Linked DNA regions of Oreochromis niloticus. The protein of the gene in region 1 binds, or shares a complex with, the protein of each later gene. Links are inferred from orthologs where the notes say so. Each region holds a gene or a part of one and is shown in the gene's direction. Other genes may lie near its edges. The genes, in order: naa35 and naa30.

Evidence for each region.
Region 2: the proteins of naa35 (region 1) and naa30 are in contact, whole or in part, in a cryo-EM structure (PDB 7MX2), measured with the Homo sapiens proteins. The link is inferred for Oreochromis niloticus from reciprocal best matches to the Homo sapiens genes NAA35 and NAA30. Residues at the interface, in NP_001308810.1 of Homo sapiens: Leu45, Gly46, Leu48, Leu56, Ala59, Met60, Ala62, Glu64, Lys69, Glu121, Phe313, Pro314, Arg315, Ala444, Leu510, Glu511, Leu512, Glu517, Pro605, Lys606, Phe607, Glu608, Leu609, Asp610, Val614, Arg615, His618, Arg619; in NP_001011713.2 of Homo sapiens: Glu221, Pro238, Ser240, Tyr242, Thr243, Arg245, Tyr246, His249, Asn250, Lys304, Ile324, Glu334, Asn335, Leu336, Gly337, Val339, Arg340, Asp341, Lys342, Arg343, Phe345, Arg346, Tyr347, Tyr348, Leu349, Leu359, Trp360, Leu361, Arg362.

What each region holds. Positions count from the first base shown.
Region 1 is NC_031977.2:20,758,404-20,768,923, reverse strand, and holds the start of naa35 (N-alpha-acetyltransferase 35, NatC auxiliary subunit), read left to right. Parts: upstream 1-5,282; 5' UTR 5,283-5,418; intron 5,419-7,734; 5' UTR 7,735-7,742; coding exon 7,743-7,863; intron 7,864-8,020; coding exon 8,021-8,054; intron 8,055-8,380; coding exon 8,381-8,495; intron 8,496-8,641; coding exon 8,642-8,716; intron 8,717-9,062; coding exon 9,063-9,230; intron 9,231-9,564; coding exon 9,565-9,631; intron 9,632-10,049; coding exon 10,050-10,093; intron 10,094-10,205; coding exon 10,206-10,256; intron 10,257-10,520. Other genes in the region: agtpbp1 (cytosolic carboxypeptidase 1), read right to left, coding at 2,316-2,446, 3,603-3,634. UniProt on the Homo sapiens protein: Auxillary component of the N-terminal acetyltransferase C (NatC) complex which catalyzes acetylation of N-terminal methionine residues. N-terminal acetylation protects proteins from ubiquitination and degradation by the N-end rule pathway.
Region 2 is NC_031980.2:4,759,375-4,769,721, reverse strand, and holds the start of naa30 (N-alpha-acetyltransferase 30), read left to right. Parts: upstream 1-5,051; 5' UTR 5,052-5,456; coding exon 5,457-6,287; intron 6,288-6,996; coding exon 6,997-7,120; intron 7,121-7,329; coding exon 7,330-7,385; intron 7,386-7,767; exon of another isoform or gene 7,768-7,905; intron 7,906-9,153; coding exon 9,154-9,291; 3' UTR 9,292-10,347. UniProt on the Homo sapiens protein: Catalytic subunit of the N-terminal acetyltransferase C (NatC) complex. Catalyzes acetylation of the N-terminal methionine residues of peptides beginning with Met-Leu-Ala and Met-Leu-Gly.

The sequences.
Region 1 (10,520 bases):
ATGCTAAATGTTGTAAACACAGGATCAAAAGCCTCTGTGAGTTTGTTAATATAGCAAGTCCTTTAATTTTTAATTGTTACAGCAGCAGAACAATGCTGTCTGTTTTTTGTTTTTTTAATTAGCTCCTTGCTAACAGAGACGCACTCATGTATCAGTGTGTTCAACACCTGGTGTGCCACCTTCTTCCGTTATCTTCGTCTCGGTTTTCCTTTCAAGGAGTAATCAGAGATTGGGTGACACATCTTGACTGTCAACGAACTACTACATCTCAATTTACACAACAACCACACTTTAAGTTTTCTACGAATTTGGGAATTTTCTCCACAAGCTGAAGCTAGGCATCAAGGCATTTGTGAAATGTACAGAGATGGGTTTGAGAGGAAGAAATGTACTTAATAAATGGACAATACCTCTGATTCTGCTGCATTTGACTGAAATACAAATAAGAGTTTCTTTAAAGCTTTCACATAGATCTTTGCCTTTAAGTCTTAAAACAAGGTAGTCAAGGTAGTTCCACTTGGTCATTATAGGTCCAGTGAAAGACTTCGAATGGTACAAACTTAAAAAATTATGTACATTTAATAGAAATTAAATGCTCAAAAACTGACTGATTTACAGCAAGAACCAACAGAAACCAATTAAGTCTTAAGATTAAATCCAAACAATTCCAACAGGTGCCCAGCTTCTGCTGATAACTTAATAATTTTGCTGCAAACCCTCCATCTGTACAAACTCTAAAACTACACCCTCTGACACATTAGGCATATCTACTCATTATCATTCCAGTCCATGGTTATTGTAATAAAGATTTCTCAGCTAACTGTAGTCATATTGTGCTGTGGCATCGGGCTCATTTTGTGGGATCAGCCAGAGACACTTAGCACCTTCAATTAAGCTGTTAATCTTATGAATGTGGGTGCATGCACATTATAAATAAATATAAATACATTTTAAATGCTGTTTAAACTTCATATTTGAGGCCAAACTTTTTCGAGAATTGAAAGAAATGATTTTATCAGTTATGACTGGTGAGTCTATACATACATGACCATTAAAATAAAGGTTAGGGCTGTATCCTCATTCATTTTAAACACGAGCTTTAAAACAGTTGCACAAACAACTGCCTATTAGCAAGACTTGGATCCTGGAACTAAATATACTACTTTGTGGTTGTGTGACTATTCCAACAACTAAAGATGCAGTTTACAGACATGTACTTGTCTGTACACGTTCATACATGTCCAACAGATATACTGAAGATCTTCCAGATGATTACAGGGAGGTGTTTCTGCAACAATTGGAGGAATTTAAATATCTCTTGATCTTCACAAGTGAGAAACAAACAGGTTGGTGCAGCATCAGCAGTGGGGTAGATGTTGAATGGGTCTGTTGTGGTAAATACAGCTGATCTACCAATGATAAACGTCTGTAGAATGTCTGGGCTCAGCCATAGAGATAAGGTGAGGAAAGGGATGGGCTCAGAGCACAGCAGCTACTCCAGCACTTTGAAAGGAGGTAGTTGATGTGGTTCAGGTATCTCACCAGGATGCGTCCTACACATGTCCTACCAGGAGGACCCAAGACACAATGAGGGAAATTACATCTCTTATCAGGCTTGGGAACAACTTGAGGAGGAACCTGGAGGAACTGGAGAGGACAGGTGGAGAAAGATGTGTGGGCTTCTCTGCTCAGACCGGTGCCCTCATGACCCAGAGCCAAATAAGAAGCAGAAAATGGATGTATGGACAGAACCAAAGTTTCTGTCATGGTTAAGCATATGACCAAATGTGACCACTCCTCAGCTGTGACCTTGATTAATGGCCCGAAAAATGTTTTTGCAAAAAATTATTACACAACAGTGACGCAAACCTTTGACCCATTCAGCTATATAATGGCATCACATCATGCTTCTATGGCATTAAACATTTTGTAAAACTCTTGTCATAATTAGTGCACTTTTTTTTAGAGTTTAAAAAAAGTGATTTCACAGGAACCTTTGACCTCCTAATTCTAAGCAGCTTATCTCGAGTCCAAGGGAACATTTGTAGCAAAAATATGGAGGTGATCAAAAACCTCTAATCGATAATGTCGAATACTTGCTTACATAATCCAAACGAATCACTTTGCAAATTGCAAGGAACTGCTGTTTTATAACTTATTACAATGCCTGAATATTTTGCAGCCGTTTCCACTGCCAGCAATGCAATTCAAGGCCAGGACTGCTCACTGAGATTGCACTTGGCTCAAGATAACAAAACTATACCGGAGTTCAGGAGATTACATGTATCACTGTGCATGTTTGCACACATTCTTACCCTGTGTCTGTATGAGATGAAGGATCTTTGCAGTGACCTGTCTTGCTGTTTCAACATCTCTGACCATGGCCTCACCATTCATCCTTTCCAGTTGGCCCAGGAGCATCACTATCCTGGAGTTACTAGGAACCCTTGTAACAAATAAAATCAGTTTTTACTTTTAGAACATTGCATCCAACAGGATAATTCAGCTGTATGTTTAAAAAAAAAAAAAAAAAAAAAAAACACACACACAAGATGATCAACTGTGCCCTCAATTATGTGAAAAGGCTAATGTTATTAATCACAATGTGCAGTTGGCAACGGAAAACAAATGTAAAGCATGATCTAATATGTGCAGTGACATCATATACTTACACTGAGTCAAGTGTGTCTTAGCCCAATTTTAGAAAGCATCCAATAAAAACAGCCTTTTCCATGTTACTTTTAGCAGTGCCGGTGATTACAAATTGGCAGTCTATGACTATATGACTTTAAACTTCATTTATTAGAGCTTTTCAACAAAGCTGTCTCTTTGTGTTTCACTTCATTTCTGGAGCACTGATCCGTCCTCCTCTTATAATCCTAGCTCAGTAGCACTCAGCTGGAAACTCGAGGTTAGAGGTCCGTTGTTGGTACAGCAACGGCAAATACTGGACAGAGAATCAAGACCCTGATTCTACCCAGGGGAGCAAAAATGTCTTATATGTCCTTATAAAGACAGAGAGAGAAGAAAAGAGAGAGACAGAGAAAGTGTATGCTAAATAAAGAATAGCAAAAAATGTCAGGAGTGAGGGAAGAATAGTGTATTAACAGAAAAAGGAAAAAACAGAACAAAAAATAGAAAGCCTAAATAAACATACTACATTAATCACTATGATGAACACAGACACACACACAAAAAAAGATCTTGGAAAGCCAAAATACACCAAAGGTTTTTCAAAGTATATTGCCTCAGCGTTAAGGACAGCTGTTATTTTCAGTCTTGACATATTGAATGGCTGTTTCAAGCAAGATCCGCTAATTATCTACCAGACTCTGCTCTGTTGCACAAGAAGAAAAGCAGGGTCAAACCCTTCTGCAAAAGGTCTTAACAAGGTAAAACAGAACAAAAGTGGAAGTGCATCATAACACTAAAGGCTCACTGAGACAGAGAGAGAGGGCGCGAGAGTGTGAGTGCAAACAGATGGCAGTGACACAGCAGCCTTCAATCAGAAACACATGCACAAACATCACAACCCCCATGCCTGTTTGTGTTCACATCTGTAATGACATTTTTATTTGCTTTCTGAATGCAAATCAACTCACCCCTTCTCTGTGGCCATTTTGGGCTTGTTCATTTTTACTACATCAACATTTCAAGTCATCTGCAAGTGAAAGAACATGTAGATTAGATATGAAGAGGAAGAGGTATTCAACACAATTTTAGAAACAATCATGTTTGTTAACCTTTACCCCACTCGACTCCCTCTGTTGCAGCCAGGCTTGCTACTATGCCAAACCATTTCACAGAAAAGTTAAGTGTCCCTGGCTACAGTGTACGCATGCCTTGTGAGGTCACCCCACAGACAAGAAGCTGTCAACTTAGGGGACACAATGAGCAGAGAAGCCATTAGTCTGCAAATATGCAGCAGCTCCACAGCAGACTAAAAACCTGTCCTCTGTGTATCTGCCCAGCAGTGCATGCTGGGACCACCTGGGGGACACATTACCTATCAACTGATTTCACACAAAACAAAAGGAGCTGTTCAACTCATCTCAGATATCCACACAAAACAGTCGCAGTCAAGGTAATGTGAGCACAAGGTTTGAAAGCACAATAAACAAGTCAACTAAGTGCGGTACCATTAACCGAAACGGATGAGCAGGTGAATCCAAGAAGACTGGACGAGTTAGTCTGCTGCAGTTTCAAAACAGAAGCATTTATGGGCTGAGATAAGATGGGTCGTAAACATGTGTTAGTGCGGGGTCATCACTGGTGCCTAATGACATTTACTCCATTATTTTTAAACACAAGGGAGTTTTGTAATAAGGTTATAATGTGTCCACATTAAAATACTTCATTACTTTAGAATTGAAGGTGAAAAAGTAAAAAAACACCTTTACTTCTTAACGAGAATTTTGCAAAGCTTACAGGCCCATCACCCGTTTTACCAAAAGGATAGAGCCTAATCTAAGAGTGACAGCACAATCTATGGTCACGCCTTTGTTACAAACGGGCTAAAGAAGAGTAAAGATGAAACTGGAGGTCAGACCATATACACGTTTAAAATTTGCTCAAGCAGTTATGAAATCTGACATGTTATAGAGGTCAGCTTACACAAGACGGTTGTAAACAAGTCGAAATAACCCTATAGAGCTACTTCACAATCCCCGATCCAAAATCCTTTAAGAAACCAGGGTCATTCCTCTCATTGCACCAGCTCACGGGGGTTGTCACTGTTAGCGGGTTATTGGTGAAAAGGTAAACAGCTAGGCAAGCCTCTGTACGGTACATGTTTACGAGATGCTAAGTCAGACAACCTAGCTGAAGCTGGTGGCCGCTGCACCTGCTGGGCTAGTCACTCATTAACGACTCGCTGTCTGCGCCAGCAGGCTAGCTAACTGAAGAATATGCTAACAAAAACAGCACACAGTAGATGTTAGCTGAAGCAGTGGTTCTTTAGAATAGCAGCACAAAAGAGATGATGTACAAACCTGTATGAAAAAGGAACTGTTGTCCCGTTTAGGGTGGAGGACTAGTTGCGGGATAAGAGGCGACAGCTACTGTGCTCCTGAGCGTTGCCTGAAACGCCCTGATGATGATGATGAGATGGAACAGACACAACTAGAGGGGGCAGTTAGTGAGCACCGCGACAGTGGTTACGTCTTTGCGCGTGGTGTAAGCGGCATTTAATGCTACGATGTGAACATCATAAATTAGCTCACTAAATCCTTAAAACTTCTCAAAAATCGTTTTATATCATCACTGGTCTGATTTTAAGTCATAAGCGTTCCGTTAGGCTTGGCGTTCACAGGACTACATTTCCTATCGCTGCTGCTGATGACGTCATTCATGTGCGCCAATCTTTACAGTCTTCGGGGGGAGCTTTGATTAGCTACATGGTTAATACAATATAGTAAGGTACGTGCTGATTTACAGCGAAAGTATAATTTCTAAGTAACAGTCTTCGTGTTTTATATGCCTGAGTGGAATGGATTAATCTGTTAAAACATCCATAAGCAGCTTTTGTTCACAGAGAACACCCACTGTCGGCAACATTAGCTTGTTTGCACACCGTAAAGCTAGCTAATGTGACGATTGGTGATAGCTAACTCACACCATCTCGTGTCTTTTAAAATTATGTATCTTGCCTAAGAGTTTTAGTACGCTTTTGAGAACTGTGTAAACTTAGGTGACTTTTTGACATCCATGTTATTAGTTTCAAAAAGGTATATGTTAGGAGACAAACAGTTACTACTTATCCCATTGATCATTTTACGGGCATTTGATCAGGTAATATCGATTTCTGATAGGCTTTTATGAAACATCTATACAAATGATTACCCGTGTTGCCTCTTATACGTACTCTAAACGTTATATATGTTACATGTGAATGAATCAGTCATTTAAAAATGGTTTCAACTCTCCCTGACCCACATCAGTTTCTTAGTGTAGACGGCTGAGACTTTCCAGGGCACTCTGGAGTGCAGTTTACACCATTTTAGGCTATAACAAGCTTCTCAAGTCAGCTCGCATGTTAATCCTCTGTTGTTAGCTTAGGTCAGCCTCGTCAAACTTCAATGAGTCGAGGCTAATGTAAACAAAAATGCGTAAAAGCTTTTAAGAACATACAGAAATTGACACATTTCCAGTTTAAAAACAATAATGGATTGCGGTTTTAATGCTCAGAAGATTGACTGACTGATCAGTGAATTATATTATTACATTGGATCACATTCACTTTCTTACTGTACGTTAACTTTGAGCTGTGTTACAACTGTTAAACTGCATGCTGAAGTTTTAAATGTTTATGTTTTTTATTATTAGGCCAGAGTACTTTACGCATACTAACCTTTCATAGCTCAGTAATAAAATTATATTTAATATACAGTATAATATACACTACCTTCAGAAGTCTTTTGATACTGTAGATTATTCTACTCTACAAGCAGATATAGAGCCAATATAGTTTTGGTCAGAAGTTTACATACACTTGTTATGGGCATGAATGTCATGGTGATTTTGGGCTTTTGATGACTTTTCCTTTTCCACTGTGGAATGATTGTACAGTGTACATATTTAATGACTTTAAAACAAGTTTTAATTTACTTTGGATCCACACAGGGAATGTATGTAAATATCTGTGGTGGTTCAAGATTTTTATTGGAAAGAAAATATTATGTAGAATTAAATAATGATTCTTAAAGGTCACCCCTTGGAAATGTTATTTATGGTATGACAGGATCTCTTTTAGGTTCATTACTTTTTTCCATCTATATTAATGACATGCCTCAGGCTGTGTATGAATCTGAATCCTTTATGTGGATGATTCTGCTCATGTAGTTAGTGGAAACACATCCTAAAGATCCATTGATCCATTTGCTTCTCCTCCTTATCATGGTTGTGGGGGGCTGGAAGCTATCCCAGCTACCCATAGGGTAAGAGGCAGAGTACACCCTGGACAGCTCACCAGTCTGTCGCAGGGTTAACACAGAGAGACGGACAGCCATTCACACTCACAATCACACTAAACACCAAACACCAGTTAACCTAACCCCACTAATCCTAAGGATATTGAACCTACATTGTCTCAAGAATTAGAATTTGTTAGCCTATGACCTGAGGAAAATAGGATTTCACTTCAGCAAGGAAAGACTGAAAGCTTTCTTTTTTCTAGTAAACAAAAAACCTAATAAGATAAGAAACCTCTTAATCAAGTGTAACTCTTATGCCATTAGCTGAGCTAATTATAACAAGGACCTAGTACTAACTTTGAGCTAGAATTCATCAGGTACAAGCATGGCTATATCTGTTATTAAAATAATAAATAAATAAAAAAAATGTTTTTATATAGGACAAAAAATCTTTCTTTTCAGTAAAGGAAGGAAAAAATGTGGAGATATTGCAGATTTAAAGCTTTATGTGAGGTTTTTTTTTTCATATCCGCCATGTGTCTTTGTGGGGTTCCTCTGGGTGCCTTGGTGTCCTCCCACAAACCGTATGTTAGTTGCTGATTCTAAACTGGCATTAATTGTAGTTGTGCAAGTAGAGTTTATGGTTGTTTGGATCTCGGTGTTAGCGCTGTGATGCTAACACAGAGACACAGAGGCTGCTGGCCCCCTCACTGCCTCCCTGAACTTTTAAGTTGGCTAGGCGATTGGATGGATGACTTAGCAAAATGCTTTACATTGGCATGCTATGGTTAATTTAATGTAATGTTTATCTATGTGTCTTAAGCTGTCACCATGGTGATGAAATCAGCAGTTGATGATGATGACACTGGCTGGGGGCTGGGTATCCCAGAAAAGATGAAGAACAACGCCAACTGGGTTGATATTACACATGAATTCAAAAGCGCCTGCAAAGGTAAGGACTCTGTGTGTGTGTGTGTGTGTGTGTGTGTGTGTGTGTGTGTGTGTGTGTGTGTGTGTGTGTGTGTGTGTGTGTGTGTGTCATCTGTGTGCAGTTAAAAAAAGGGACTGACGTGTTTCTCCTTCCTTGTTGTCATCCTTTATTCATGCAGATTTGAACCTTGGAGAGTTGCTTCATGACAAGCTGTGAGTACACCAAAGTGCTTTTTTGTGGATTCACATTTTCAAGAGTCCCTCAAATTAGAAACGACCTTTTCATCTTACTGCTGGACAGATCCTCAATTTAAAAAAGTTTTCATGTCCCAAAGTCATAGTTCAAAGCATTGACTGTCCAGAGTAATTATAATGAAAGCTTCTAATGTTTTTGCCACAAGTGACTTTGAATTTAATTGGGTTGATATTTGCATTCATTTTTGGATCGATCCATAAATATTGTCAGTGTTTTTATGTTTTCATGTAGTGAACACAGAAAAAATGTTACAGAGGTCAAAAATGTTTTACTTCTGCTGCAGGTTTGGCTTGTTTGAAGCCATGTCAGCTATAGAGATGATGGATCCTAAGATGGATGCGGGAATGATCGGAAACCAGGTCAACAGGAAAGTGCTCAATTTTGAGCAAGCTATTAAGGTACTGATCTCTTTTTCATGTAATAAAAACAGTATACAGACAGAGATGTAATGTAATCCTAGATTTAATTTTTCAGATCTTAGTTTAATTTGTTTGTGTATATAACACACATTTAACCACCTTATTTTCCTCTTTCTTTGTTCCAGGAGGGTGCCATCAAGGTCAAAGACCTCAGTCTTCCCGAACTCATCGGGATCATCGACACCTGTTTCTGCTGTTTGGTGAGTTCGCTTTTGGTTATTATAAGGCAAAATTTTGAAAGTTATGTTCAAGTAATGTGCTGCCCCCTGTAATTCCTTTGTACTGCAGATTTTCTGAAATGTGACTGGATTGGAAAATGTTTACTGCAGTAGTATTAGCTTAATCTATAATCTGTATTTGTAGCCGTTTTAACGTTTTTATGGCATTTTTGTCTTTAGTAGATTGTAAAATTTGAGAAACACAATAAGTGTTGGCAAAGAGATTACTGATACAGATCGGGCCAGCGATGACTCAAACTGCGGACTCACTGATCAAGACATATTTATGTATGCATGTTTGTGTTTTCTAATATGTGTGTATATGTAGATAACATGGTTGGAGGGACACTCCCTGGCCCAGACTGTGTTTACCTGCCTCTATGTTCACAACCCTGACTTGATTGAGGAGCCAGCCCTCAAAGCTTTTGCCCTGGGCTTGTTGAAGGTGTGTGACATTTCCCGGGAAAAGGTCAACAAGGCTGCTGTGTTTGAAGAGGTGAGCAGTTTTCTGCTGTCAGTCAGTAAATGTTTGGGTACTGTGGTACTGCACGTTTCAATGTGGACATAAAGTCAGAAATGGTAGCAGGTTAAAATCATGGACCAACACAAAAAAACCCAGGTGGGAAAGAAAAAGCTGTGAGTAAGTTGTGTGTAAAAATTGAGATATCTGAAAGATGGAGCTCAGTGAAGATTTCCAGACCCAAAGAGCTTTAGTTTGATTGCAAATGTGTTTTGTTTAAACCTATTTGTTTGAAAAGTTGTTCTCGTAGTAGCCCATTTCTAAAACTGCCATATGTCTGAATGGTTTTATCTTATATGTCTTTATGCAGGAGGATTTCCAGGCCATGACCTATGGCTTTAAGATGGCTAATAATGTCACAGATCTGCGGGTGACAGGTATGAAGACTTCCACTCATAACTGATTAAGGCTCAATGTCAATCTCCAACCTAAAGCATAAAAATGAAACTCTTAACAACCTAAATGATACCATTCGAGTGCACAGGAGCAGACGTTGAGTAAGTCAGTTCGAGGCCTAGGATTGTGTGTTTGGGACTCTTTGTGGGTAATGCCCTCAGGCAGCATCTGCAGATGTAGGCGTGCAACAAGGTTTAAAAATCTCTGCCAAAGAACACTTGATACTTTGACAGTAGGCCCTCGTGGTTTTAGCATAAACACACATCCAAGTTTATGAACCCGTGTGTACACATTGGGATTGGGCTTTAGTCTGCAGCATCAACTACAGTGTAGACAGCTAAAGCAATTACAGGCAGACACTGTAATCATTCATCTCTCATGACGTATTAATCCTTTCAGGTATGCTGAAAGATGTAGAAGATGAATTACAGAGGAAAGTTAAGGTAATTATTCTTGATTGCTTTAAGTAAAGGCCATTGCCATTTCAATGAAGCACTGATAATGCAAAAGCTTTTCTGACATGCAATGTTTCCGGGTTATTTTGTGCTCCGTCAGAGTACGCGCAGTCGACAAGGTGAGCAGCGAAACCCGGAGGTTGAGCTGGAGGTAAGTATTTGTGTTGAGTTTTTGCAACAGTGTTTTTTTCTAGAGGCATTTTCTTTAACTCCAGGAACAAATTATCTCACGTTTCTTTGTAATTTATACCTTTTGAGTCATATCTCACTACCGGCTATAACTGTGTCAATAAAGAGTGTGGGACTCAGATGACCTCTTAAAGACTCAGCTCTGGAATTTCCAGCTCGTTCAGTTATATAGTTATATAAAGAAAGGAAGGAAAAAAACAAGAAGACCCAAAAATGGACTTTTCTG
Region 2 (10,347 bases), on another chromosome or scaffold:
CCCGACCAATGGAGGTGATCTTCACGGGGACACAGCTCCCCCCACACATTTTTGAACATTAATATAGGCAAATTGCAGATTTGTTTGAAATGGCAAGAAGCCCTGTTTCGTGATTAGAACTTTACAACGTGACAAATGTGAATATGCACATGCTGCCAGTGACAGAAAACAAACAAACATCCTGTCAACATTAGCGTGATGAGGAGTGATGTGAGTCGATGCGTCTCACAGTGTGATATACGTGTGCGTGTGGGACGTGTAGGCTGACGAGAAAGAAAACATTTTTATTGTTCCTCTTGTTAACCGAAGGATTATTCGAGATCAGACGGGACAGGGCCGGACATCTAGTTGACGTTAAGTCTTTCTCTAACAAGACGGGTGCTCTCCACTCCGCACAAATCTTCTCCTTTCATTTTTCCTACCTTGCGCAGACACCTCCCTCCCTCCTTCCCTCCCTCCCTCCTTCTTCTCCATCTCTCTCCTGTCCCGTCTTTATTTCTCTTCTGTTTCTCTCTCTCCCCTCCTTTCTTTCCTTTTCTGCACTCCTCCCTGAGTGACAGCTCAATACCCAGCTCTCCCAGGCTTATCTAGCCTCAGCAGATGGTTGACTTGGATCACTGTTCATACGCCACGATCTGGGCTGGTGATAAAGACTGTTACAGAGGGAATATATGCTATCTCTCTCAGGCTTGCTCTTTCTTCCTTTTACTTCTCCTCTTGATCTGCGCTGTCATTCTCCCCCTCTCCATCCAACTCTTTTTAGCTCATTCGCTCTGCGCTCCTTCGATTTCTACCTGGACCCTTCCCACTCGTCTCCTTGTCGTGTCCTCCACCTTTCTCAGCTGTCCTCTTTGTCCCGCTCCCCCTTCAATCCACCCCTCTGTGACTCCTCATCTCTCTCCCATCCCTCAATCTCTGTGCATTGAATCTGGTGCTGCGTGATTGTCTCTGGTTCCCTGCTGGGCTGGCGCCTGTCTAAAGGGCCCCAGGACCCTCACACACTGAGGGGCTCCAGCCATGCCAGAGATCCCTCTCCTCTCGTTTCTCCTCTCTCCTCTCCCTCTTCCTCTCCTTCCCTTTCAAAAAGGTCGAATGGTGTCTTTCTTTTACTTTTGCAATGTGTGAGTTGCATGCAGCATGTGTGAGTTTCAAACAATGTGCCAAAAAGAACAGTTAGTAAACAGGTGAGATCAAAGCGCAGCGGTCTATACTCACATCTACACTGCTGTCTTTATGCGTTTAATTTATGTGATCACTTCACTCGGGCTACTGATGTACACTTCAAAGGCTGCCGCTGCCCATTTTATGTATGCTTCACTTGCTTGGTTTGGTCATTTGATGTCCTCCTCACATATTTTTCTTCTAATTCCACGCAAGCCAAAGGAGCAGGGTATAGCTGGCACTGCTGGGAAAAAAAGGGGTGGGGGTGGGGGCACAGGGTGGCGGGCAGTGATATGAATGAGAACATACAACAGACTGGCGAGGACATCACTTGCACGCGCCATACATTGGACCAACTCTGCGATGAATCCAGGTGTGGCACACGCGTAGAAATGATGCTGAAATTCAAATAAACAAGAATGGTGATGCTGCCGTGGGTACATATGGAGCCTGCCATCCCGTGTGAGGTGGAAAACCTCCCCTCCTTGCGATTTACTAGTGGCTCGCCTGCTCTCCAATACTCCAGACAATTCAAGGCCATCTTAATCTGAACGGTGGAATCTGGCAACCACTCCTGAGCACCTGCATCCGTCCAGCCTGACCCGCTTTTGTTCTGGTCCGACCCCCTAACTTTAGCCCCTAATTAACCCAACAGAAACTAATTAAATACAGCTCTAGTGGACCAGACGCCAGACAAAAAGAGAAGAAAAAAAATAGAAGAAGAAGAAGAAGGAGGACACAGGGAAGTGAGCGGAGTGAGGAGAGCAAGCCAATGTGACAGGCAGGAGCATGAGAGAGGAAGGGAGGAGGAGGGGGTCCAAAGTTTGGCCTCAAGCCCCTGAGAGCGGTTCAGACAGACAGGAAGACAGGCGGAGAGATTTGAAAGAGGAGGGAATTCGGGTTTCAGTGTCAACCCTGAGTTGTCTTTACCGTGTTCTCGCTCTCCGCTGATCTCCATACTGACCTTATGCTTCTTTTACATGCTGTCATTTTTTTTCTCCAGATATTTTGGGTTCTTCCTCATAGATTAGCACGTCTGCCAACTGCTGTAATCACAAGCGCACCAGTCACATGACGCAACTGACACCCTGGAGATATTTGGAATAGGGGAGAGCCACGGAAAGACAAGAGCAACGTGCAATGAAAGCAAGGCAAGGAGGGAAGAAAGGTGGCGGTGGCGGTGGCGGTTGTGGTGGTGGTGCGGGGAGAAGGTGTGGGACAGGCTTGTGAGAAAAAAGATAGGCCTATAAAAATATGGGTTCAAACCAGCCAAATGTCTCTGGCAGAGACGCTGCTGCTCCTCGTCCCAGCCACGGCTCGCCTAAGTGATAGAGAAAGTAATTAAGAGAAGCCTGTTCAAGTAGATAGGCCTGCAAAGGAGATTTGAAGAGGGGAACTGATTGTGCATGTCTGATTCCAGCTCTTCAGAGAGTTCTCAGCCCCAAGGCTTAGCTTTAAAAGAGACGTCTCTCTCTCTCTCCCTCCTATCTCGGCCTCTTTCTCTGTAATGTATATTTATACATAAAATATGACTCCCTTTCAAAACTCACGTATGTTCATGGTAGCTGTGTAGGACAGACAACGACTGAAAGATCAATCTGTGTTAGCATGAAAGAGCAAAGTCAGGCTCTCTAGCATCTGGCGCTCCCACTTAGACCTTTTGTGTCACGGTCTGGTTGTGGTAGACCGACTGGACTCAACTGTGTCTTTGTGAGAAAGCGATCCACTTCAGAGTACCTGGAGCTACAGCTGGAGGGCGCTACAGAGCGATACTGCCAGTTTGAATGGCGGTTTTCAAATCCTTGCCTCGTTTTGGTAAAACTGTCCACAGTTTGAGCAAATATTAGTGGGGCACGTCTTTGTGAACAAAATAAAGAACTTTCATGTGCAGTATAGTTTAAATTGTGTGCTGTGGCCACAGGTGCGAGCCAATCATTTTAATTTTGGAAAACATATTTATGGAAGTTGAGAGGGACAGGAGTAAGGATGCAGAGGAAAGACACCTATATGTCTCTTGTGGAAACTATTTAGTCATCAACACAGAAGCTGAATTTTGATGCGTGAATTAAAGGATTTTTGGAAAGGTACAGCAGGTCACAGTGTTTTTGCTGCAGATTTGAGTTCATTTGAAAAATTCCCCCCACTTAAGAGGAGCATAAATGTTGCAAGAAATCTGCCAGAAAAAACTGAGAAAAAGCTGGAATATCTGTCGAGGTCTACCCTGAGGTAAGGAAGAGACGTAGAGCAAGAAGAAACATCCAAAATGTTGACCGTCTATTACAGAAAAAGCAGGACTTTAAGGAGAAGAAAGCAAACTTTGGTGCTGGCAGGCAAGACAAATATGATGCTGAAGAGCTAAGAGCTATGATACAAGAGCTAAGCAGTACAGTTTTTACAGCTCTTAGAGTGAACTCACCCAAAACCTTTGATTCAAATAAATAAGTCATCACCACCAAAAACGACATTACAAACAAGGGGAGTCAAAAGATATAAATATTTGGTCAGAATGTGTGTGGAGAATAGAAATGCATAATTCAGCTTCTCATTTCCTGAAGTTCTTGTCCTATGAGTTAGGACTTTTTTAGAGCACTGTACTTCTGTTTTAAATATATCAAAGTTAATACTCTGTAATGTCTTGCTGATTTCAAGATCACCTAAATTTGTATGTTTTGTGAGGGGAAAAGCATGTGGTCACACAAAGATGTGCAACACAGTTAACAGGGTATGGGGAGCATCAATACTCAGAAACAGGTACTGCGGTAATAAAACATGGCCTATTGTGTGCAACAGAATACTACAGTAACAACATTTTTCAGAATCACTTGACTTCCTGTCGCTACATTTGAGTTTCAGTGACCTCACACTTTGTGTTCACCCTCACAGTGTAACAGGGGAAGGACCCCTGTGAAGTCTTCTGCGTTGTTGTCTTCTCCTTCCTATGCTGGCACACAATCTCTCTCCTCTCGCTCTCCACAGGCAGGCTGCTGCCTCCTGTAAAATTTTGGTTTTTGGTTGTTTTTTCTGGGGGGATTTCTTGGCACACGATATCACAAACTCTGTTCCAATACTACAAACTCATGACTTAGACTTGTGCACCTGGCAAATTTTATCTGGAGATTATTCCTCTAGTGTGAGCCTAGACTATTTTGATTACAAAGACAAATCTATATAGGTTTTGTAGTTGAGCAGGTGACCCGTATGCCAAAGGCTGCTACTGAGGCTTGCCCCAGACCATTTCATGCATGTCATTCCCTCCACGCTCTCCATGCTTCTCTGCCGGCTCTCTGTACTTTTGTGTCTAATAAAGGTTAGGGAAAAATGAAACCTTAAAAGGAAATAAATGTAACAAAAGTGAAAGACGAATATGAATGTGGTTCTTAGCAGACTAAAGGAAATGGTTAAATGTAAATATAAACAAAAAACAAATGTAATTATTATTATGTATTATTATCATGTTATGTGTAATATGAACAACTGCAGTGTTGTGGTTTTCTTGCTTCGCAGCATCCTGGGAATGATGAATTAACAGCAGCCTACAGTATGCTTCTGGAAAGGAGAGTAGACCATGATTGGATACTACTGGACATACACGCACCAACTTGCACCTACTTTGCAGGATGAAGCGACAAACTGGTCGAATGGCGGCATCTTGTGGAGAAAACGCAGTGTTGTTGTTGCTCTTACAAAACTATTCCATATGCTAAAGCTTCGGTTTGGCGCCCTCTGCTGGTAAGGAAGAATATGTTCTTGGGTTTAACAGGGCAGTACAAGGACTTCTTCAGTCACCTTTGACTTCTCCAGTGTTGCATTACCAGAATGTTGTGAGTACAGTGTGGTAATGCAGGGTACGACACAAACATATATATTATTTAAACTATACAGAACATAAAGGCGAACAGAAGGAGGTAAATGTCAGTATTGACTGGTTAGATAAATTTGACAAACAATATAAAAAGTTTCGCAAGGTGCAAGGATGACCAAAAAACAGCCTCGGGGGGCAGGGGGTAACAGAAGTGGGAAAAACCGTGCAACACTCATGCGTTACACTACTGTCGTAAAACGTGTATGAATGCCGTTGCAATGGCGTTTGCTGCGACGGCACTTTGCGGCAGCAGGGAAATCGAGGAGAAAGCAGCGACAACCATCGCCAGCGGAAACGTTATCGCCCCAGAAAACCCTGGATTTAAGCAATATTCGATGAACTAGCTCGTATATTGGTTGTATATGCCTTCGCCTTGTGGATGAAATTGTGTTCAACGTTTTCCAAGTGTCAATCACCACCTTAATGCAGTGGGATGGCCACAGTGCCGCCTGGGCCTAGTAGCGTACTGCCTGCATCCCCGGCTGAAATTCCTCCTTTCCCCGTGGCTGGGAGCGCGGAGCCGGCGGTGGAAGACGGAGAGCCGGCGTGCCACGGGGAGCAGTGTGTGCCCGCCGGTACAGGGACGAAGTCTCAGTCGGTAAACGAAGTCAAAAGGTCGGTCAAGAAGAAGCAGAAAAACATGCTAGCGCGAGCTAGCCCGTCGGCGCTTCACCTTAAAATGCAAGCCCGAGAGCAGCAGCAGTTGAACGGCTTGGCAAGCCCCTCAGAGGACCCTGACAGCCACCAGCACGTAGGAAGCCGGCCTGACAATCCCAGATCGTCCGTAGACAACTGTGACAACAGTATTGGCAGCAACGAGGAGGCTCCTGCCGCTAGGAACAATAGTGAGCACTGCCAACACGAAGGCCACAGCCCCTGTTCCAAAAACGGCAGTCACTCTCCTCATGGTAACAATAGCGTGAACGGGATGCCGGGTTTCACTACAGCTGAGGCGGCCTGCGAAGCGGGGAAAGAGTTGGACCACACGCCGCCCTCTAGACCTTCGAGTGACGAGCAGCCGGACGCTGCTGGGCCCGGCGGTGAGGAGAGCCAGGCTGACCTGCAGCAGCCGCCGGCCGAGGAGCTCGCCCGGCTCGACTTGAGCGGCTCCCCCGGGGAGAACCACGGCATCCGCTATGTCCGCTATGAGTCCGAACTTCAGATGCCGTGGATCATGAGACTGATCACCAAGGACTTATCTGAGCCTTATTCAATTTACACTTACAGGTACTTCATCCACAACTGGCCGCAGCTCTGCTTTCTGGTAAGTAGTAGATTGAACGCACCGCTCACAGTTATGAAGTCTGACTTCGGACTGGTTACTCTGAGTTGCAGGAGTATTATAGGAGTTGGGTGTGACAGCTTTATTTTTCACCACATGTCACTGTACGTCCAAGGCTGTCAGAGCTGACGTGTACTGAAGCTAAAGCACACACATGTCAATAACATTTCAGCTCATAAGTTTAGTTTCTATTTTACTGCTGGCAGGCAGTAAACAACCTGTCATCTACTGTTACAGATCCAACATTGATTCAGTTTTTTAGGTTATTAATGAATCAAGAAATGTGCCAGCCCACTCATATATGTACAGATTTGTAACGTAAAGCAATTATAAAATCTAATCGTCAGTATTAGCAGAGAGTAATGTGCCTTAGGTTTCCTTCTGCATGTGCTGTGTCATGGTAGCATTTTCTGCTTTGAAAACACTGGCCTGCCTTCTTTTCATTCTGTGGCCATCAAGGTCCAAAACATCCCATTTCCAGTTTTGGCTGGATCACCACATGTGACAGAAGAGGAAGTGCTATTTAAAAAAAAAAAAAAAGATAAAAAGGTCAGAGGTCAGCTTGTGGAGCCAGCTGAACTGGCAGGATGACAGGAACTTCAGAGGAACGGTTGCTAGGCTGTCAGCGGCCACCCCAGTGGACACTCGTAACCACTGAGCGTGTATTTTTTGTTGTGTGTGTGCATTTCAGGCCATGGTGGAGCAGGAGTGTGTCGGAGCCATTGTATGTAAGCTTGACATGCATAAGAAGATGTTTCGTCGAGGTTACATTGCCATGCTGGCCGTGGATTCGAAACACAGAAGGAAAAGCATAGGTGAGATCTCGGCGCTCCTCTTCAGAATATTCAGTCTCTCCCTTCACCGTCTTCTCTGCTGTCCCGGGCAACCAAATCTCTTTATGCAAATGCACCATTTAGATAGACTCTGCACTCAGAGTGATGAGTAATGTTATACTTTAATATATTGGAGATGGAGGCCATAAATGGGTTTAGCCTCTTACTTAGAGTCCACTCTTTTGTTTCAGGTACTAATCTGGTGAAAAAGGCCATCTATGCCATGGTGGAGGGCGACTGCGACGAGGTAAGCGAGCTAGACCCAGTGGCATTGTTTATGAACCAAACTTTAACACATTTGCACACATTACATAAGAGCCGTTATTCAAGCCAGAGTGCCAGCGTATTCAGTCGTACTGTGAAAATATGCATCCTACATAAAATCAATAGTATAAACACATGTTACACTGTTGGCATTCCCTTCTTTGTTGTAGATTTCTGAAAGGAACACAAACTGAAAGAGAGAACATTTATAGCTGTTTAAAGCCGTTTTTATTTCAAGGTCCAGTTTTCCTGGGCTGTCCTTCACTTATCTAAACTAGCTGGTAACCTTGATCTTCTACCATAAACTATTTCATATGCTCTGCCTCTCCCTGAAAAGCCAAACATTCATGCTGCTTCCTTTGCAGACTTTGAATTCTTCTAGAAGATGAAACATGTGATACAGCGTTACGATTTCTTCAGTCTCTTTGCTGGTTGAGACCAAAGAGCTGACACTCTGATACAACCCAGCAATATCCAGTGCTTTGAATGTGTACACACAAACGGTACATGTTTTTATAGGATATGTTTTTACTTATTTTAAAAAAGAAAAAGAACAAGTAACTGCAAGCAAATGTGTGGGTGGGTCTTCAGTGTCCTGTGCTCGTGCTTTCTATCCAAATATCTTCTCTTATAAAAGCAGTGACTTGCAATAGCAACTTAAATATTGCACTTACAGCTTGTTAGCTACCAAGATATGACACACAAGTAAGGTAGGTTTAGAGTTTGAGTATTTATTTGTCACAGTTGCAGTTGAAGGTTTCTAAGGTGAGGAAACGCTGTCACTATATACTGTACAAGTGCCTATCGATGTCTAAAGTGTTTGCTGTCCCCTGAAAATATTTCAACTGTTAATTTCATTTCATTTGTATAACGTTAAATCACAGCAAGAGTCACCTCAGAGACCCCGCGATAATACAGAAAATGCCCCAACAGCCTCTTATGAGCAAGCACTTGGTGACAATGGGAAGGAAAAACTCCCCTTTAACGGGAAGAAACCCTAACTATATGCTTTATCAAGAAGGAAATCTTAAACTTAAAAGTAGAGACTGTCTCCTGAATCCAAATTGGGAGCTGTTTTCACAGAAGAGGGGCTGAGAGTTGAAGGCTCTGCCTCCCATTCTACTCTTAAATATCCTAGGAACCACAAGTAAGCCTGGAGTCGGAGAGCGAAGTCTTTAAGATAAGATGGGGGCTGATTTTCAAGACCTTGTTTGTGAGGAGATGTATTTTAAATTAAATTCTGGATTTAACAGGGGTCCTATAAAGAGAAGCCAATATGGGAGAAATACGCTCTTTGCAATGTTTATAGGAGTCTTATCCTGTGGATTTGCTGGACCTCCACTGTCTTGCACTGGGCTGTTGCTCAAATTAGTAGCAGATGTACCAGCTTTTCATCTGTTCTGGCTAGAGTGGCTTATATTGAGGACCACCACAGCGGTGACTGATCAGCCCTCCTGTCTAGAAAAGGCCTGGAGCTAGCAGGTTAGGAGCAAGGGAGTGAGGTTTGTTTAACGCAAATTAGTCTCGAATGGCTGAAAAAATGGGTCCAAGTAAAGGCAGTGTATGCTGACAAAGAGGGGAAATATTATGTTGATCCCATGACGGCAAACGAGTTCATTTTCAGTATTGTTAACTTTTTTTTAATTCTTCAGGTAAAGAGTTCCAGTCCAAACAATCAGGAACGACCAAATAGCAAATACACGCTCCAAAATTCAGTCTGCTCACTCACGCACTCATTTGTGTGTTCCCAGGTTGTATTGGAGACTGAGATCACCAACAAATCAGCCCTGAAGCTCTACGAAAACTTGGGTTTCGTCAGAGACAAGCGGCTCTTCAGATACTACCTGAATGGAGTGGACGCGCTGCGGCTCAAACTGTGGCTCCGCTAGCGGAAAACAGAAGGGACGGGAGGAGGACGGGACAGCAGGTGCTGTTCACCTCGAACACTTATCAGCTTGACGGCCTCAGCTCTGCCCTGGTCATTTCACTCTTATAGTCACACATACAGACACCTACACACACACACTTACACATATTCCTGTGTCCAAGGAGTATGCACATAAGTATGCATAAAACAAGCAGACACACCCTCCTTTTATCCTTGACCTCTGAACAAGCGTTTAGGCAGAAATGGACTGAAATCCCATCAGGTGTTACACGACGGGGGGTCTCCCGCTGCCTTCTGTGACGAGGGCGGGGCGAGTGAGGGTGACCTCATTGACTGGGGGACATTGTGACCTTGGAAGCTCGGGGGCGCCTCTTCAACCAGGTGTGAGGCAGCTCAGGTGAGGATGTGCATCCAGACTCCCCCACCCCCTACAAGAAAATAACAAAACAAAAAGGACAAGGCACCACACCAAAATCCTGCAGAACCCGGGACAAAGCAGACTTAAAAAACACAAGGAAAAAAACTTTAAAAAAAAAATCATCACCACATGAAACAAGGAAGTGGAGCGGTAAACACAGACTGGGAAGATATTTGTGGAGTTTATTTTTGTTTTGTTTTCTCTTTTTTTACCCTTATATGTTGGGCAGGGGGACGGAAAAAGCTATAGTTTGTGTGTTTGTACCGCCTGGTGTTTTTCAGAAAGCAAGTGGCTTGTTTTTTTTTTCTTTCTTTCATTTGCCGTTGGTTTCACTGTGAGCGAGTGAAGAACACATTTGTATGACTGCGTGTGCTTGGTATGTTTTTGTTTCCCCATCCTGTCCAGCAGGTGCAGCACTCCTCCCCCACCCCCTGTTGCTGCTGCTACTGCTGCTGCTGCTGCTGCTGCTTCTTCCATCACCTGCCTCAGCCCCCAGGACTGAAGCCTGTAAAGATATGCATGCTTTTTGTTTCAATGTGAGCGCAGGAATAAGAGCTTGTCGATTAACCCAGACTGAGGCCAATCCCCACCTCCCCAACTCCCTCTCCAAGAAGCCCATTCTGTGTTTGTGTACGCATG